5 linked regions of the Macaca mulatta genome follow. The protein of the gene in region 1 purifies or fractionates together with the protein of each later gene. This does not show direct contact. Links are inferred from orthologs where the notes say so. Each region holds a gene or a part of one and is shown in the gene's direction. Other genes may lie near its edges. The genes, in order: EXOC5, EXOC8, EXOC7, EXOC3 and EXOC1.

The links.
Region 2: the proteins of EXOC5 (region 1) and EXOC8 purify together in Homo sapiens (affinity purification with mass spectrometry; 5 studies listed by BioGRID and IntAct, counting the BioPlex papers as one, with this or other methods). This does not show direct contact. The link is inferred for Macaca mulatta from reciprocal best matches to the Homo sapiens genes EXOC5 and EXOC8.
Region 3: the proteins of EXOC5 (region 1) and EXOC7 fractionate together in Homo sapiens (co-fractionation; 4 studies listed by BioGRID and IntAct, with this or other methods). This does not show direct contact. The link is inferred for Macaca mulatta from reciprocal best matches to the Homo sapiens genes EXOC5 and EXOC7.
Region 4: the proteins of EXOC5 (region 1) and EXOC3 purify together in Homo sapiens (affinity purification with mass spectrometry; 7 studies listed by BioGRID and IntAct, counting the BioPlex papers as one, with this or other methods). This does not show direct contact. The link is inferred for Macaca mulatta from reciprocal best matches to the Homo sapiens genes EXOC5 and EXOC3.
Region 5: the proteins of EXOC5 (region 1) and EXOC1 purify together in Homo sapiens (affinity purification with mass spectrometry; 4 studies listed by BioGRID and IntAct, counting the BioPlex papers as one, with this or other methods). This does not show direct contact. The link is inferred for Macaca mulatta from reciprocal best matches to the Homo sapiens genes EXOC5 and EXOC1.

Annotation. Positions count from the first base shown.
Region 1 is NC_133412.1:130,332,594-130,336,106, reverse strand, and holds part of EXOC5 (exocyst complex component 5), read left to right. Parts: intron 1-1,311; coding exon 1,312-1,432; intron 1,433-2,656; coding exon 2,657-2,743; intron 2,744-3,513. UniProt on the Homo sapiens protein: Component of the exocyst complex involved in the docking of exocytic vesicles with fusion sites on the plasma membrane.
Region 2 is NC_133406.1:17,695,469-17,699,523, forward strand, and holds EXOC8 (exocyst complex component 8), read left to right. Parts: upstream 1-1,243; 5' UTR 1,244-1,333; coding exon 1,334-3,511; 3' UTR 3,512-3,840; downstream 3,841-4,055. Other genes in the region: DNA-dependent metalloprotease SPRTN, read right to left, coding at 469-689. UniProt on the Homo sapiens protein: Component of the exocyst complex involved in the docking of exocytic vesicles with fusion sites on the plasma membrane.
Region 3 is NC_133421.1:85,832,951-85,837,165, reverse strand, and holds the start of EXOC7 (exocyst complex component 7), read left to right. Parts: upstream 1-1,415; 5' UTR 1,416-1,498; coding exon 1,499-1,558; intron 1,559-1,755; coding exon 1,756-1,821; intron 1,822-3,302; coding exon 3,303-3,487; intron 3,488-3,787; coding exon 3,788-3,893; intron 3,894-4,215. UniProt on the Homo sapiens protein: Component of the exocyst complex involved in the docking of exocytic vesicles with fusion sites on the plasma membrane.
Region 4 is NC_133411.1:1,538,457-1,542,746, forward strand, and holds the start of EXOC3 (exocyst complex component 3), read left to right. Parts: upstream 1-1,484; 5' UTR 1,485-1,523; exon of another isoform or gene 1,524-1,903; intron 1,904-1,997; exon of another isoform or gene 1,998-2,200; intron 2,201-4,290. UniProt on the Homo sapiens protein: Component of the exocyst complex involved in the docking of exocytic vesicles with fusion sites on the plasma membrane.
Region 5 is NC_133410.1:77,573,708-77,577,220, reverse strand, and holds part of EXOC1 (exocyst complex component 1), read left to right. Parts: intron 1-3,321; coding exon 3,322-3,513.

The DNA of each region.
Region 1 (3,513 bases):
ATGCAGTGGCACAGTCATGGCTTATGGCAACTTTGAACTCCTGGGCTCAAGCAATACTCCTGCCTCAGCCTCCTGAGTAGCTATAACTATAGGTGCATGCCACTGCACCCAGCTAATTTTTTCTTTTTTTGTAGAGATGGGGTCTTGCTGTTTTGTAGAGATGGGGGCCTAGGCTGTTCTTGAACTCTTGACTCCAAGCGATTCTCCCTCCTCAGCCTCTCAATAATTTTTTGTTTTGATTTAAACTGTTTTCCTAAAGGTTTCTTTTCCTACTAACTTATGCCACTGCTGGACTGTTTGTGTGTGCCAGTTTTTCTGTAATTATTGAATATTCTTTAAAAATTTTAATTTCATGGTTAAAAACATACATCGTAGCTGAGTTCTGATGCCTATAAAGAAAAAAAGTGCGTCAGTATTACCTTAATTTTTATGTCTTTCATTAATAACAATGATTCATATTTTCTACATATGTATTGATTTTTTTTCTCTTGTAAAGTTTATTTGTTATTGGAGCCTTCAGTTTTCTTACCAGTTGGTAATCTTGTCTTTTACTTGGGTGGGGGAGGGGAACACCTTTATTTTCCATTATTAAGACAAAAAAATCATTGTCCTGTAAAGAACTCTAGGTAATCAAGCCTGTATTTTCTCATTAGCTATGCATATTTTCTTTAGTCTCTTAAGTCTTTTTAGCTAGAAACATAAACATCTAGGACCTTAGAGTTCATCTGTTATTCTTTACAAAAAGGAGGAAATGGAAATCCAGAGGTCAGCTGACATTTTGAGGTCAGAATATGGAGTGGCTTGATTCCCTTTTTATTTTATTCTGAATAAATTCCAGAATAAAATCAGGTATGTAATCTGTAGATAGAACATTTTGAGTATTTTTGAGAAAATAGTGTAGAGTACCGTAAGTGAAATGTGTCAGTTTAGGCATATTACTATGGCAGCAGTATCTAGGATAAAAGATAAAGAGACTTGAATGAGGAAGACCAATGAGAGAATTATTCGAACTATTATCAGAGATAAAGAGGCCTGGTTATAAGAAATATGTGGAGATGTATTCATGGCTCACGTGAATCATGAAGGCAAAGTAGATAGATGGTGAACATTGGGCGTAAAAATAACTTTGGATGAGTTTTACTAGTATAAGCTTAGCTTGATTTTCCTCTTCTGTCCACAGAAGTCATTACTGATGTATTAAAACAGTGGTTTCATTTATGTTATAGATTTAAAAACCACATTCTTTTTTTCTGTTGCCAAGATGAATTTCTTCAAGGATGATTCTAACATATGTATGCTTTCTGGTTTTAGGAATTCCCTCTTCAGATTCTAGGAATGCAAATCTTTATTTTTTGGATGTTGTGCAACAGGCCAATACTATTTTTCATCTTTTTGACAAACAGTTTAATGATCACCTTATGCCACTAATAAGGTTAGTCAAATTATCTGATTTTCATTGATATTTCAGTGACTGTTACAGCATTCTACATAATATTCTACGTGTATTTTCATTAAATTTAAAAAGTACATGTTCACAAAAATGTCAGACTGGACAAGTGGAATGAAATAAAAATATAAAAATTCCTAGGAAATAAAACATTAAATATTGTTTCTTCTTGCATTTCTGTTTTCTCTTTCCACTATATTATTAATTTTGGTGTATTTCAAAAGATTTAATCTGTCACAAACCTAAATCTGAAATCTCATGTGAAAGAGGACCTCCAGCTTAGTGAAACTCAGCAAATTTGACATCTTTTAAAAGATCTCATAGACAAAGTCCATGTACCCACTTGTTATAAAGACATACAAAAAATTTTATAAGATTAATAGGACAGATTTTAATGAGGCATTAAGTAAAGTTTGGTTTATATCTTCATATCAATTTATGTGAACTTATAAAACATTTGAGAATCAAATAAGATGGTGTATATGTGAACATGCTTTACAAAATTCTCTTTAGCACTATTATGTAAGAGGAAAAATATTCATATAAAATTTTTTGACTTTTTGTTATAAACACTGACATGCCAAGAATAGTCCAGAAACAGTCTCAAAGATAACAGTCACTTGTAATCCCTGAGTCATACTTTGAAAGGAAATTTACTTTTCAAGATCTGTTATACCACATAGCAGAGAATTCACACAATTATTAGGGTTGCCTATTTCTTAATATTTTGAATGTTTTGACATTCTGATAGCATTCAGAAGGCAAATATGATTGTCAGGTTTTTAAAAATACAAGTGGATTGGCTGTTTCCCTCCAAATTTTATAGTATGATTTACTGTATTCTTAAAACTCTGGTGATGCTAGTCTATAGCTTTTGTTGGTGTTACACTAGATATTTGTTTATAAAGAAAACCAAATAATTCCACAATTTTAAAGTCACATTTATATTCTTGAGAGATGTCTCCTCAGAGATCAAAATAACAAATTTAAGTGGTCCTCTTCCTTAGTCTATTATAATGAATTGGGCATAGTGAATGCTAAATAATTACTTTGCTTCTTATATGCTTCTTGGATTTGTTAACAATATTAATGCATGTATATGGATGTATTTATAAATGGATACAATGTAATACACATCGATGTAAGAAAAACTTTCAGAAAATCTCATATTATTAATATGACTCTTTTTCCATTTTAAATATACAATAGCTCTTCTCCTAAGTTATCTGAATGCCTTCAGAAGAAAAAAGAAATAATTGAACAAATGGAGATGAAATTGGATACTGGCATTGACAGGCAAGTTGTTGGTTTTGTCTCTTGCATTTTTTAAAATTATAAAAACACCATATTATAGCAGCATGCAAATACTTTGTAGAGAAGAAAAATATTTATCTTAATTCCACCATATTGCTACAACATTTGATAAAAAAAAAATTATTTTTACATATTGCCTTCATCCTTATTAGAATGTTGTTTTTATTGGATCCTGAAGTTTTTTACTTTGGCCTATCTTGGCATTTAACATACCTTCCTCACTAAGCTTAATCATTTCTAGCTTTTGATTTAAAGTGAGAAGTATGTGACGTTTTTCAGTTGAACACTTAGAGGCCATTGTAGGATTATTAATTGTCCTAATTTCAATGTTACTGTGTTTCAAGGAATAGGGAGGCCCAAGGAGAGGCAGAGAGACAGGGAAATAGCCATTAACTGGAGTAATCAGAACACACACTATATTTGTCAGTTAGGTTCACTGTCTTCTATGGGTATGGTTTGTGACCCAAAACAATTAAAATAGTAACATCAAAGATCACTGATCACAGATCACCATAACAGATTTAGCAGTAATGAAAATGTTTTAAATATTGTAAGAATTACCAAAATGTGACACAGAAACACAAAGTGAGCCCATGCTGTTGGAAAAATGGCACTGATAGACTTGCGTTGCCACAAGCCTGCAACTTGTAAAAAAACAAACAAAACAAACCACAGTATCTGTGAAACACAATCAAATGAAGCAGAATAAAACAAGGTATGCCTGGATAATCAGAAGTGGGGTTGTTGGATCA
Region 2 (4,055 bases), on another chromosome or scaffold:
CACTGAAGATCCCCACTGCAACACACGAGCTCACTAAAGTGGGTTCCTAACGGGAAAGAGAGGAGGGGAACGCACATCCTTTGGAGGTTACTCTGCGTCCTCAGCACTTTCTTAGGGGCAGATTTGGTTGCTTTTCCCTTCAGGGTCCTACAGCACTATCATAAGGCAAATCAGGAACTTGTTATTTTCAAGTTTAGTGAGATTCAAACACAAATCTCTTTTCTCGTTAGGGCCCTGAGTCCAACCGTGGCGGTGGGGTCTACACAGCTTTCTTATTTTTCGAGTGGGAGAAAAGGTAAGAAAAAGAGAAATACGCCAAGGCAGGAATTGCCAGGTCCAAAACCAGACTCCCCCCTCATTTAATGCCCCCTGGGACCGTCGGACCAGAGAAAGGAGAGAAGACCAGGACCGGGGGCTGCAGGAGAACTGCCAGTCCCGCCTCTTTCCCCAGCGGGGCTCGGAACTCACAGGGTCATTCGCACGCTCCACTTCACCTCGACGGCCTCCAGCTGGCCCCAGAAGAACTGGTCGTTAAACTGAACAAACAGGGCCTGCAAGTCCGGTGTGGGGTCCACCAACTCCCACGACGCGTCCACTAGCGACAGGGACTCCTGGGCCTGATCGCGCTCCGCCTCCTGCAAGTTCCACTCCTCCTGAAGCCGCAGGGCCAACATCAGGTCATCGTCCATCGTTGCCAGGATCACAGGCGGGATCCGCCGGTGTCAGGCTGGCTCCGAGTTAGGCTGCGACCCCAAGCCGCCTAGCGGAGGACCAGGACTAGCTCCTAGGAGATACCGGCTCTCGAGACGGCCAGTCAATCCCGCGAGAGTTCGCGGAAACTCGCTTGAGAAAGAGAACGTGAACGAGAACGGCGCTTACCCCAAACGCCGAAGCCAAGATTCTAGGGCTTTAAAACAAGCAGTCAGCACGACACCTCCTAGTGGGCGCAGAACCTGGGCTCACAGGGCACCGGCCCTACGAAGCTTTCAGGAAGCTAGTTCCAGCCTTTACTCTTTGCCGGTTATTTCAAACCTCAACGTCACGCTCGGTTCATGCGCAGTACTCAAATTGCTCTCGGCCTCTCCACTCACTTCCGCACTAGCTCCTCCGGCGCATGCGCCTTAACTGATGGCATTCCTGCGCAGGCGCAATGTCTGCGCCTGGCCCCTTGCGCAGGCGCAGTGTCTGACGCTCAGACCCGGCGCAGGCGCACTCGTCTTGTTCCAATTCCTGCTTCCTCAGCCCAGGAGCTCGGTGGGTCTTGGGTGGGTGTAGACAGCCGCGGCGGCTGCGGCGCCGATAGTGACAGTGAGTGCGTGAGACCCGGACGGAAATGGCGATGGCGATGTCGGACAGTGGGGCGAGCCGCCTGCGTCGGCAGCTGGAGTCAGGGGGTTTTGAGGCGCGGCTGTACGTGAAGCAGCTCTCGCAGCAGTCGGATGGGGACCGGGACCTCCAGGAGCACCGGCAGCGCATCCAGGCGCTGGCGGAGGAGACGGCGCAGAACCTGAAGCGCAACGTCTACCAGAACTACCGGCAGTTCATAGAGACGGCCCGTGAGATCTCCTACCTGGAGAGCGAGATGTACCAGCTCAGCCACCTGCTGACGGAGCAGAAGAGCAGCCTGGAGAGCATCCCGCTTACGTTGCTGCCTGCCGCAGCTGCCGCCGGAGCCGCTGCCGCGTCTGGCGGGGAGGAGGGAGTCGGTGGGGCGGGGGGCCGAGACCACCTCCGAGGCCAGGCCGGTTTTTTCTCCACCCCCGGTGGCGCCTCCCGCGACGGCTCCGGTCCAGGCGAGGAAGGAAAGCAGCGCACTCTCACCACCCTGCTTGAGAAGGTGGAAGGCTGCAGGCATTTGCTGGAGACGCCGGGACAGTACCTGGTGTACAACGGGGACCTAGTGGAATACGATGCCGACCACATGGCCCAACTGCAGCGGGTGCACGGCTTTCTCATGAACGATTGTTTGTTGGTGGCTACCTGGCTGCCGCAGCGGCGGGGGATGTATCGCTACAACGCTCTCTATTCCCTAGATGGTTTGGCCGTAGTCAATGTCAAGGACAACCCGCCCATGAAGGACATGTTCAAGCTGCTTATGTTCCCCGAGAGCCGTATTTTCCAGGCCGAAAATGCTAAAATAAAACGAGAGTGGCTGGAAGTGCTGGAGGAGACCAAGAGAGCCCTCAGTGAGAAAAGGCGAAGGGAGCAGGAGGAGGCAGCGGCCCCTCGAGGGCCACCCCAAGTGACTTCCAAGGCCACTAACCCATTTGAGGATGACGAAGAAGAAGAGCCAGCTGTTCCTGAGGTAGAGGAAGAGAACGTGGACCTCTCCATGGAATGGATCCAGGAGTTACCTGAAGACCTGGATGTCTGCATTGCGCAGAGGGACTTTGAAGGGGCTGTTGACCTGCTGGATAAATTGAACCATTACCTGGAAGATAAGCCTAGCCCACCTCCTGTAAAAGAACTAAGGGCCAAAGTGGAGGAGCGAGTTCGACAGCTCACTGAGGTGCTGGTTTTCGAACTCTCCCCAGATCGTTCCCTGAGAGGTGGTCCCAAGGCTACTCGCAGAGCAGTTTCGCAACTGATCCGGCTGGGCCAGTGCACGAAGGCCTGTGAGCTATTTTTGAGAAACAGGGCAGCCGCTGTTCATACAGCAATTCGTCAGCTTCGCATTGAAGGCGCCACTTTACTCTATATTCATAAGCTGTGCCATGTCTTCTTTACCAGCCTTCTTGAGACTGCAAGAGAATTTGAGATTGATTTTGCAGGCACTGACAGCGGCTGCTACTCCGCCTTTGTGGTCTGGGCAAGATCAGCCATGGGCATGTTCGTGGATGCTTTCAGCAAGCAGGTGTTTGATAGTAAGGAGAGCCTCTCAACAGCAGCTGAGTGTGTAAAAGTGGCTAAGGAGCATTGCCAGCAACTGGGTGATATCGGACTGGACCTCACCTTCATCATCCATGCCCTTCTGGTGAAAGACATCCAAGGGGCCTTGCACAGTTACAAAGAAATCATCATTGAAGCCACTAAACATCGCAACTCTGAAGAGATGTGGAGAAGGATGAACTTGATGACGCCAGAAGCCCTGGGGAAGCTCAAAGAAGAGATGAAAAGCTGTGGGGTAAGTAACTTTGAGCAGTACACAGGGCATGACTGCTGGGTGAACCTAAGTTACACAGTGGTTGCTTTCACCAAACAGACCATGGGCTTCTTGGAAGAGGCTCTGAAGCTGTATTTCCCAGAGCTGCACATGGTACTTTTGGAGAGCCTGGTGGAAATCATTTTGGTTGCTGTTCAGCATGTGGATTATAGTCTTCGATGTGAGCAGGATCCAGAGAAGAAAGCTTTTATCAGACAGAATGCATCCTTCTTATATGAAACAGTCCTCCCTGTGGTGGAGAAAAGGTTTGAAGAAGGTGTGGGGAAACCTGCCAAGCAACTCCAAGATCTGAGGAATGCATCTAGACTTATTCGTGTGAATCCTGAAAGTACAACATCAGTGGTCTAATGCTTGGGTCTGTTTATATGTATGTATATATATAGAGAGAGCGCTTATATATTATTTATATTTATATTAAGTTGTATTAGCATACTCTTTATAGTTTCAAACACAACTTGAAAATTAAAAGTGCCCTCTTAGAATACAAAAATCAAAAAGAGGAAAAGAAGTTAAATTAAGCCCAAATAACAAAAATACTGGAATTATTAAAACATATAGTATGCTAGCTATCCTTTTAAATTATGCTGATTCTCTTCTGAAATTATGGTCACACTATACACTATAGCATTTCAGTTTCATCCTTTGATAAAACACTTTTTGGTTTTTTTTTTTTTTTTTTGAGACAGGGTCTCACCCTGTTGCCCAGGCTGGAGTACAGTGGCAACGTCACAACTAACTGCAGCCTTGACCTCCCAGGCCCAGGCAATCCTCTCACCTCAGCCTCCCATGTAGCTGGAACCACAGGCTGGCACCACCATACCCAGCTAATTTTTGTATTTTTTGTAGAGATGGGGTTTTACCATGTTGCCCAGGCTAGTGTTTTCTTTCTTCT
Region 3 (4,215 bases), on another chromosome or scaffold:
AAGGGTTGTCCACCTGAACCCAAAACATCCTCTCTGCAGCGGCTCACTAGCCCCCCTATTCTATTCTGTGACACCTAACAGTTTAAACTTTTCCCCACTTAGCCCTTAGGACGACACAAGGACCACGTCAGCGAAATCATCCTGGGTATTTCCTGACACAGGAATCTGCCCTTTACCTCCCCCACCTACAAAAGGACGGAAATTGTCCTCCTGCCCGAGGGAAGGCTGCCCATCCCTCTCCAGGCTCTGTACACCCATTTCCTCCTCCTCCTCTTTGGGTGGCTATGAGTAGAGGGAGCGCATGGGAACCCTAGAACTTGGTGCCCCCCAGGCTGGGAGTAGCGGCTCACGCCTGTAATCCCAGGACTTTGGGAAGCCGAGGTGGGTGGATCACTTGAGGTCATGAGTTCGAGACTAGACTGGGCAACATGGCAAAACCCTGTCTCTACCAACAATACAAAAAAATTAGCCGGGCGTGTTGGCAGCCGCCTGTAATCCCAGCTACTCAGGAGGCTGAGGCACGAGAATCACTTGAACCCGGGAGGCAGAGGTTTCAATGAGCGGAGATCGTGCCACTGAATTGCAGCCTGGGCGACAGAGTGATACTCCCTCTCACAACAAAAAAAGAAAAGCTTGGTGTCCGTCCCCCCCCCCCAACCTTCTCATCCACCAGCACATGCCTCCTTGTCTATCTTCCCGGTGTCTGGACACTGAGGCCACAGAAGGACTGAACCAAGTTGGTCGGCCATGTCCTGTCTCAAGGCCGGGGGCCAGAGGCAGGGTGGGCAGGGACTGGTTAGAGGAAGGAGTAATTCTAGGTTTTTCAGGAGCTGGGTCTACAACCACAACATCCAACCCTGCAGGGAAGTTGATCCAGGGGCGCCCACCACGCCATCCCCTGGAGCTGCAGCTGGAAGCTGGGACTGGGCCTGGAGCTCCGGAGCAGCCCCGCCAGCCCACAGGATACGGTTTTGCGTAATGCAGGGTTGAAGGGGAAAACGACTACACAAGCCCCTGGTTCATTACATGGACACACGTTAGGCATCTACTGTGTCACCTGCGCTGTGCCGGGCGCTGTGGGGAACACAATCGGCCTTGGTGCCTGCCCACAGAATGCGACCTGGGGAAAGGAATTCGTCGCCTTCCCCAGCAGTGTTTATGAAAAGGCTCGGTCTTTCAACGAAAACAGCAAGTGAGCTGTAAGCGTCCTACCAGCCGCGGGACATAAGGCCGATCAAAAACCTCTCCTGAGGAAAGGAACCCGCGTCGAGATCCCTTGTAGGATCCGAGTACACGTCACTCCACAGCCACACTCAAGATGGCCGTCGGTCCGTTCCTGGGCTCCGCGCAGGCGCACTTCCGCCTTCCACGCCCAACCTGGCTCCGCCCAGGTGTCCCGGGGCGGGACCAAGAGCGGAAGTGGGTGTGACGGGGACTGGGGCCCGGTGCGCCAGCGAAGGAGAGATAGTGGGGAGTGGGAGCCGTGGGGTTCGGAGCGATGATTCCCCCACAGGAGGCATCCGCCCGAAGGCGGGAGATCGAGGACAAGCTGAAGCAGGTGGGCGTGGGCCTGGGGAGGAGGTGAGGGAAAGAGGCCAACAGCGGGGCCTGAGTGTCTACTCGGAGAGGAGGCAGGGGTGGGAGGGAGCGCACCGAGCGAGGAGATGGGGTTGGGGGCTAGGCCGTGGGGTCGGGACACAGTGGTCTCCTTTAGCTTCTGGTTTCTGGTGATGTCCTCCCCTTGCCTGCTCCCAGGAGGAGGAGACGCTGTCCTTCATCCGAGACAGCCTGGAGAAGAGCGACCAGCTCACTAAGAACATGGTGAGTCTCCTCGCAGCTGGGGGAGGGGGCAGGCCTCCGGACCCTGGGGGAAAGCCTTGCGACCTGGCGGTTCCAGTTCTTGCGGCCTGGGGTTCTGTCATGGGTAGCGACGCAGGCAGTGTGTGGGTTTATCTAGCAGCAGTTTGGCATCTCTCCTGCCTAGCCCCCTCCCCATATTCCGTCCCCTCACTGAGGAGGCTGCGCTTCCCCCTGGCCTGGACTTGCTGCTTTCTGTCTAAGCTCGCCATTCTTCCTTCTCTCCTTCTGCAAATACTCAGTGAGTCTGACCAGTTAGTTGGGCTAGGTACTGGGCATATGTCATCGTCAATGGATCCTCTGCCCAGGAGGTTGGCACTTTGAGATTCCTGAGAGCAGAGAAGACTCAGCCTTCACTCCAGAGGGCTTCAGGGAAAGAAAGAGCTCTGAAGTCAGGCAGATCTGGGATCTAGTCCTTGCCCTGCTGCTTAAGTGTGTGGCTCCTGATAGGTAACTCTGGTGTCAGCGAATTCATCTGCTAAAGCAGAGACTGTGCCAGCCTCCCAGTGTGTCTGTGAAGGTCATATGCGCTAATGCATGCGACTGCATCTTGCTCAGTGCCTGGTATACAATAGGTGCTCAATAAGTGAGGTTCCTTCTTTATTCCTAGGGGAGACTGGAAAAGCACAAAGTGAGTAAATACAAACTTGTATTTGTATTTAGTCACACAATAATAAAGTCCTAGTCCTTTTCTAAAAAATTTAATTTTAAAATTATTTCTTTTTAGAGACAGGGTCTGGCTCTGTTGTGCAGGCTAGAGTGCAGTGGCATGACCGTAGCTCACTGCAGTCTCTAACTCCTGGGCTCAGGCAGTCCTCCTGCCTCGGCATCCTAGTAGCTGGGACTGTAGGCACATACCACCACACCTTGCTAATTATGTGCGTGTGTGTGTCTGTGTGTGTAGACAGGGTCTCACTGTGTTGTCCAGGCTGGTCTTGGACTCCTAGTCTCAAGCAATCCTCCTGCCTCAGCCTCCCAAATTCTTAGGATTACAGGCATGAACCATCACGCCCAGCCTCTAGTCCTTATTCAATGAGTTTCATCCTTAAGAGAGTTTTGAAGATACAGAAATGCATTTGAGGCTTCTCTGTATGAAACTACTTCCAGTCCAGTTTAGGAATGCTTCAAAGAGAGCAGAAGTTGAGATTTGGCTTCAAAGGGTGGAAGGGAAGCCATCTTGGGCTGATTATTTTAGGAAGAATTAATTTGATGCTTGGTTTGCCTTCAAATAAAATTTCAACCAATTTGTCTTAAATCACCTACTATATGCTAGGCACATGATGGGTGCTGAGGATACAATGGGGAACAGATACACCCTCTTCCTTCCCTTGTGGAGTTTATTGTCTAGAAACCCAGAGAAAAGGCAGGAAATGCCCAAGGTGGGTGTGTAGAAGCAGTGCTGGGACCACCATGAGGCCTGAGATCAAGAGGCTTCCCTCCTGCAGGTGTCTATCTTATCATCCTTTGAGAGCCGCCTTATGAAGCTGGAGAACTCCATCATCCCCGTGCACAAGCAGACGGAGAATCTGCAGCGGCTGCAGGAGAATGTTGAGAAGACACTGTCCTGCCTGGACCATGTCATCAGCTACTACCATGTGGCCAGTGACACTGAGAAGATCATCAGAGAGGGGTGAGTTAGGCCCATAGGGTCAATTCCTAATCCCTCCTGGACCGGAGGGTTGGTCTGTAATCCCAATAATTTGGGATGCTGATGCGGGAGGATCACTTGAGACCAGGAGTTCAAGACCAGCCTGGACAACACAGTGAGATGCCTTTTAAGCCCTAAGCCTTAAAAGGCGGTGGGGGGGATAGCATATATTTGAACCTGGAGTCCCATGTATTAATTCTCTTCTTTCCCTTCCAAATACTGTGTCCTTAGTCCTTCTTCACCCCCCTTGCCCCAGCCTGACCTGGCTCTTTTGCTTCCCAGCCCCACAGGTAGGCTGGAAGAGTACCTGGGAAGCATGGCCAAGATTCAGAAGGCAGTGGAGTATTTCCAGGACAACAGCCCAGACAGCCCAGAACTCAACAAAGTGGTAAGGGATCTGCAGAATAATGTGAGGAGCTTGGGGATATCAGTCTCTGCCCTGGTCTCATGAGGGACATGGGGCCAGCTTGAGGATGTATACAGTAGAATACACAGAAGGATATAGCACAGTACATCCTCTAGGCATTAGTATCTCTGCCTCAAGAATTGCACATTTTTTATTATTAAAAATTCTTTATTATAAAACTTTTAAATGTATTATAAAAATTAAATTATAAATTACATATAAAATATATACTTAACATTTGATTTTTTTTTTTTTTTTCTCCTGAGACAGAGTCTTGCTCTGTCACCCAGGCTGGAGTGCAGTG
Region 4 (4,290 bases), on another chromosome or scaffold:
TTTTTTTCTTGTATTTCTGGTAGAGACGGGGTTTCACCATGTTAGCCAGGATGGTCTGGATCTCCTGACCTCGTGATCCGCCCGCCTCAGCCTCCCAAAGTGCTGGGATTACAGGCGTGAGCCACCGTGCCCCACCAAGAAAGACTTTTAATGTTAAGAAGTTACTAGACAGTCCATCCAAATTCACTACCAGACATTGAATAACAGTATGTCTTTAGTTCATAATACTCAATGTTACTATATTTTGAAGAGTCCTAAAAGCTTTGGTAATTTTGGCCATTTTTTTTCCTTCATTAGTTTCAAAATTAGTCATAATTTCTAACATAATTTTAACTTTTTTTAAAAAAATTTTTTCATTGCTCAACTTGTTGCTAGATTTTCAGAAATTACAAGGAAAAACGGAAATAACAGAGCCGGGGTGTTAGCATCAGCAGGGCACGGGGCAGGGCTCCTTGTGGGAGTGGCAGCGGGGGCTCCCACAGCTCCATCTCCATTCTGTGCGACCCCGCCCTATGCTGCTGCCACTTTCCTTGTCTCTGCTGGCTTCTCTGCCACCTTCCAGACCCTTCCTTTTGTGTGGCCGATTTTCGGGAGGGGCCAGGGGCACAACCTAGCAGCTGCAACCTATGAAGGACTTTCTTGTTAGTTGGTGCATCCTTTATCAAACAGACAAACCCCGAATGCTGGTGGTTTAGCACGTGCTTTTTCCTCCTGGTGAAGCCAAACGCTGGCCGTGGGCCTCTTTTCCAAGCAGCGACTCAGGACCGGCCCTCTGCAGCAGCGGCCCAGTGACACACATTCATTCTCCAAGACCCGCGCCGCTGGGCCTCTGAGGGGCCCCAGAAACATCCCGTGGCCACCCATCCCAGGGCACTGTTCCCACGTGGGTGCCGATGACTGTGCTCCTGCAGGGGCTGAGTTCGTGTTTGGGTCCAAGGGGTACCCAAAGCCGCTAGTCTGCTGGTGGCAGGCAGACAGACGCTTGATTCCCAACTTTCCCCGCTTTCGTTTCCTCGTTTACTGAATGCTCGGCGCCCACCTCAGTCCGCGGCAAAGGTGGGACGCCCCTGCCACACTGCAGTGCGGACGGCAAGGCCAACATAAAGACATGAGGCGTCAGCAGAGGACGGAGCCACAGCGGCTCTGTGGCTGTCTTCTCTCCGGAGGTCGGGAAGGGAACGGAGAGAAAACGCAGGCAGCCACGCTGGGCGGAGGCTTCCAAGACTGCGCCGGCCCTGGGGAAGGGCGCACGCGGGGGTCGCCGGAGGCAGCGAGAGGGCCTGAGTTGGGGGGGCTGGGACGGGCAAGGAGACCCCCACCCCGGCAGTTACCATGTCCTGCTGGGGAGCGGCCACGGGGCAGGTCTCCGAGCTGAAGTCGCTCGGCCAAGAGACGGGCACCCGCCCCGCCCGGAGGGCCGGACCCATGCTTCCGGCGCCGTTGCCGGAAGCGGAAGTACCCGTTCGCTGTCCACTTCCGGGACTCCGGAGGCGGTGGCTGAGGCTGCGGCGTAGGCTTAGAGGGTGAGTCGGCGGCAGGTCCGGACGGCCCGCGGGTCCCTGGGCGGTGGTCGCCGTGTTTCATCCTTGCTCTCCCTGTCTCTGGCTTCCGCGGGGGCGCGTAGGGGGAGGCCGGACCGGGACCTGGAGGGTAGGGAGGCCGTTCCGGGTCCCGTGGAGTATCCCGCTCGTGCGAGTGTCCTCGGCGCAGGTGTTCCCTCGGCGCAGGTGTCCTACCCGGCACATGTGTCCCCCCAGGCACAAGTGTCCTTCCTGGTGCAGGTTTCTCCTTGACGGTGTCTCCCCCGCACCAGGCGCAGGTGTCCTTCCTGGCGCAGGTGTCCCCCCTTCGGAGCAGGTGTCCCTCCTTGGGGCAGGTGTCCCTCCAGGCACAAGTGTCCTTCCTGGCGCAGGTGTCCTCCAAGGTGCAGGTGTCCCCTCAGGCACAGGTGTCCCCCCAGGCACAAGTATCCTTCCTGGTACAGGTGTCCCCTTGACGGTATCCGCCCCCCCAGGCGCAGTTGTCCTTCCTGGCGCAGGTGTCCCCTCTCGGACCAGGTGTCCCTCCTCGGAGCAGTGTCCCTCCGGGCACAAATGTCTTTCCTGGTGCAGGTGTCCTCCAAGGTGCACGTGTCCCTCCAGCGGAGGTGTCCCCTCCGTGAGGTGCCCCCCAGCACAGGTGTTCCCCTCGACGCAGGCATCCCCCCGGTGACGTGTCCCTCCCGGCGGAGGTGCCCGCCCGGCAGAGGTGTCTCCCTGGTGCAGGTGTCCCCCTGCCGCAGGTGTCCCCCTGGGTGCTGATGTTCCCCTCAGTAGGGTGTCCCCCCCGCTCGGTGGAGAGACTCACAGCAGAGCCAGCGCCAGGGAAAGGCAGTCAGAAAGACCCTGGTAGGGGTTGAACCTGGGTTTCTATTTGTGGCTTCTGAGTTCCTCTTTGGCTTCTTGACCCAAAATCTTTAGTCTTCAGGCTGGGATGAAAACCTCTGCGTTGTGTTTTTTAACTTAAGGTTTTCCCTTTTCCCACATTAGTAGCTTTGTTCTGACTCCAAGGTGAGCCTGCTTCTGCTTCCCAGCTCTTCACTCACATCGCCTTGGCTTCCACCCACAGCATGACAGACTTCACTCCAGCCTGGAGATGGGTCCAGTCACCTCACTGTGTGCACCAGCAGAGTGCTGGGTGTCCACTTCTTGGGTTGTTATCCAGCCCTATAATCAAAACCATGCAGACTTTAATGTCAATGGAAATGCTGATGATAATATCCAAACAAAATAAGAAAACAAAAGTGTGCACCTGCGAAGTCATAGAAGCAATGGAACGTTAGCTTTAAAAGAAACTCAAAGGGAAAAAACTGGAAGGAAACAAGCCCTGTTGGAGGGAGTTGCCCAAGTGTCAGGATTTAAGGGGAGTTGCCTGAGTGTTGGGATTTAAGGGGAGTTGCCTGAGTGTCGGGATTTAAGGGGAGTCGCCCTGAGTGTCGGGATTTAAGGGGAGTTGCCCGAGTGTCGGGATTTAAGGGGAGTTGCCCGAGTGTCGGGATTTAAGGGGAGTTGCCCTTGAGTATTGGGATTTAAGGGGAGTCGCCCTTGAGTGTCGGGATTTAAGGGGAGTCGCCCTTGAGTGTTGGGATTTAAGGGGAGTTGCCTGAGTGTCGGGATTGAAGGGGAGTTGCCCTTGAGTGTCGGGATTTAAGGAGAGTTGCCTGAGTGTGGGGATTTAAGGGGAGTTGCCCCTGGGTGTTGGGACTTTGTATTTTTGTCCTGTCCAGATTTTGTACATTGTATGCCTAATTTCGTAATCAGAAAATAAAGAGAAAGGAAAGGTTGCAATGTAGGTCCAGATGAAAAAGGAGAAGAGAGGGGTCTGAAAGCATGTGGGCACGGAGAATGAAAAATTCCAGGAGAAGGCGAATCTTGTTAATATTCATGAAGATGAAAATCGAACAGCTGAAATCAAGGGGAACAGGTGTATCAGATTCCCGCATTGACCAGATGCTCACCAAGCAGCTGTCTTAGCTCCCCGAGGAGGACGATGGTGGAGGGAGCATGGAAGGCAGGCTTGCCTGCCATCTGAGCACCTGTGGTCTGCATCGGACCTGCATAAAGGAGGGAAGCGCAATGTTTTCTATGGCAGTTAAAAAAGGGGGAAATGGGGTTTTGGATACCCAAGACAGTAATGAGTTTTTTTGTTGCTGTTTGTTTGTTTTTTTTGTTTTTTGAGACAGAGTCTTGCTTTGTTGCCCAGGCTGGAGTGCAGTGACGCAATCTCAGCTCACTGCAAGCTCCACCTCCTGGGTTCATACCATTCTCCTGCCTCAGCCTCTTGAGTAGCTGGGACTACAGGCAGGCGCCACCATGCCCGGCTAATTTTTTTTTGTATTTTTAGTAGATACAAGGTTTCGCTGTGTTAGCCAGGATGGTCTCAATCTCCTGACCTGGTGATCTACCCACGTCAGCCTCCCAAAGTGCTGGGATTACAGGCGTGAGCCACCGGGCCCGGCTGACAATAGTAACTTTTATAGGGAATTGTGGGGCTTGTGCTGGGCCTCCAGCTGTGGTACCTATTTGGGGGAGATGTCTGTGCTGCATTTGTCTTCACTGAGGGTCCTGGTACAGCTGCCCACAGGCCTGGCCAAGGTGCTGGGGGAAGGCTCCCGAAATGAGAAACCAGCCCTATCTTGGGGAGAGATGTGCCTTGGAGACTGACATCTACATGGTGGGTGGTTTGGGACCCACATCTAGAATCTTCCAAATGTCCATGTCTCTCATGCCTATGAAACGCACCTGCTCTCCC
Region 5 (3,513 bases), on another chromosome or scaffold:
TTGAATTTGAAAAATAAAACCTATTCATAATCATTAGGAACCACTTACATTTTAGGGTTCATATGGGCTTATGACTATGCAAAATTGAAAATCTTTTTTTTTTTTTTTTTAAGATGGGCCTCACTCTGTCACCCAGGCTGGAGTGCAGTGGCATTATGTTGGCTCACTGCAACCTCCACCTCCCAGGCTCAAATGATCCTCCCACCTCACCTTCCCAAGTAGCTGGGACTACAGGTGCACCCCACCACACCCTGCTAATTTTTTGTAGAAAATCATTTTTTAAACACAAAAACATGACCTTCCAGATTACATTTGCATTTCAACAAGTGGTCTTCTAGAGATGATGGGCTGTGATGTGTGTGTGACCTTAAGCAAATCAATTCATTTATTTAGGCCTCAGTTTTCCATATCTATTATACAAGGAAATTAGTACTAAAATACAGGAGAAATTAGTGCTGAAATACTATAACTCGCTTTCTTCCTGTGTCAGATCCCACAATTAAGTTACAGAAAAGTCTGGGCATGTCATTTCATGTGAAATAAATGATCTGATTGCATATATTCAGGAATTGTAGAAGCTAAAGAATTGGCAGGAAATGGAATCATTTCACCAATTATTGCCCAGGCTGGAGTACTGTGGCATAATCTCGGCTCACTGCAACCTTCACCTCCTGAGTTTGAGCAATTCTCCTGCCTCAGCCTCCTAAGTAGCTGGAATTATAGGCAGGTGTCATCACACCCAGCTAATTTTTGTATCTTTAGTAGAGACGGGGTTTCACCATGTTGGCCAGACTTGTCTCAAACTCTTGACCTCAAGTGATCTGCCTGCCTTGGCCTCCCAAAGTGCTGGGATTACAGGCATGAACCACTGTGCCCGCCCTTGATTTTTCCTTTTAAAATTCAAAGTAGCTTTGCTTTATCTGATTCTAAAGTAATGTGGCTAGGCACACTGGCCCACACCTGTAATCGCCGTACTTTGGAAGGACCAGTTTGGGGATTGCTTGAGCCCAGGAGTTGAAGACCAGCCTGGGCATCATAGTGAGGCCTTGTCTCTATAAAAAAAATCAAAAAAATTAGCCAGGTGTGGTGGTGTGTCCCTGAGTTTCAGCTACACAGGAGGCTGAGGCAGGAGAATCATTTGAGCTCAGGAGGTCAAGGCTGCAGTGAGCCTTGTTCATGCCACTGCACTCTAGCCTGGATGACAACGCCAGACCATGTGTTAAAAATAAATAATAAATGAATTAATTCATTCATTATTCTTTGTAAATGAATTAATTCATTTATAAAGAAACTAAAATGTATAAAACTTAAGAACAGACAGATATTCCTTTAATTGGATAAAAAATCTATCTCAGGCCTAAAGCTTACATGACACTTAACTGCAATAGTAGAGACATTCCCTCTGAAATCAGTTTAAAGCAGAAATATTGTTAGATCCTTTATTATTTAGCATTGTTATTGAAGTGCTAGCCAGTACAAGACCTGAAACATAACTATTTATCCACAAAAATCAGCAAATAGAATTTTCAAATCAGGAAGAAAGATCATTTTTAATCTTATTGTACAGAGATAATGTTAAATTTTTATTCTTCCAAACTTTTCAATTCCCTGTCCCTCTCTTCTATATATGTGCATATTGTGTGTGTGTGTTTTCTTTAATATAAAAATGTTATCATATCTGACACACTATTTTTGAAGCTGCTGGACTCTATGTAATCTTAGTACCTTTCCTTGTTAGTTAATATAGATAAACAAAATCATTTTTAACGATTACATAGTCATCCATATGTCATTATCCATTTACCAAATCTTCTATTAATAAACATTTAGGGTTTTTTTAACCTGTATCATTTTCCTACTAAAAGTTACCAGTCTTTCCCTACTGTCACAGGGAGTTTTGATTTATGTCGCTCACTGTGAGGATTCAGTGAATAAGTTGTGTACACATATAATAGTTCGTCTGGTACTGTCATTTCCCTTTTACATGACATTCCAAAATGACAAAAACCATTGGCGATCATACACACACACGCGCGCGCGCGCGCGCGCGCACGATCAAGACATATTGATCTACATCAGAAAGAATAAAATGTAAAAATCTAATGCAGTATAAAGAGTCAATGATCAAATTATGCTTAATGAATCTTATAATTCATTTAATTTCCCCTGCCCACAATTCTCCTAAATTGTACTTTTGTTGTAATTAGTTTAGAACATGGAAATTTGCAATGTATTTTTATTTTGAACATATTGTCTAAGTTGGAACTTTCCAAAATTTGTCAAGAATCAAAATAAAGAGAAACATCTTGTGAGTTTCAAATATCTCTTCTAATAATACATGCTCAAAAAATAGATAATGAGATAACTACATATGCACACACACATCACTCACTATGAAGATTCAGTAAATAAGTTAATGCATGTTCTTCTATACTCTCTGGTACATACAATAAAAAGTTTTCAACACAGAAAAAAATAAAATAAAATAAAATAAACATTTAGGGTTTTTTTAGTTTATATATCTTTGTATACTTGTCAAATAATTTCTTTAGGGTAAATTACTAGAAATGGAATTACTGGGTCAAAGGGTTTATGTATCTCAAGTCTTTTCCCAAATTGTGATACAGAAAGCTTATGTCAGTTTAGTGCTATGAGCAGTTGCATTACAACTGTACAAATGCTGGATATTACTAGGTATTACCAATCTTTTTATTCTGTGTCAACCTGATAGGCTATAAATTATCTCACTATTTTATTTTGCATTTCATTGATTTTGTGTATGGTGTGTTTACATGAATTTTCAAATTTTATGTCCAATTTATTCATCTTTCCCCTTAATAGTCTTCTGAATTTTGGGCCATTCTCAGCAAGGTCACCCCATCACAAAATTATTATTTTTCAATTAGCTATATTTTCTTTAGTACTTATGATTATATTAATTTATTTGTTTGCTTTTTACATTTTAAATAATTTAGCAATTCAGAATTTGGCTGCAAGATGTAAAATAGGGACCTAAATTTCATATATTAAAATGGTCCAGCTGGTTGTCCTAACACACTTTGAATAATTCATCATTTCTCCATTGATTTGAAACGCTACTTTTATTATATACTGAATTTCCATGTACACATGGGACTGTTTTAGGATAACTTTTTATGATGATTAGGTAGATCTGAAAACTCCCATTACAATATATTTTATTAAGTCCAGAAATGTGCTTAATTCTTAAACTTACAAATGAAAAAATAATCATATAAATGTTTGTGGCTAAATACGGTCATACTCAGAGATGTTATTTTATTTTTTCTGTTTTGGTTTTAGTGGAGAAAGTAGCAAATGAAAGCCAGAAGACCCCCAGGGATGTGGTTATGATGGAAAACTTTCACCATATTTTTGCAACTCTTTCTCGATTGAAAATCTCATGTCTAGAAGCAGAAAAAAAAGACGCCAAACAAAAATACACAGATCACCTTCAGTCTTATGTCATTTACTCTTTAGGACAACCTCTTGAAA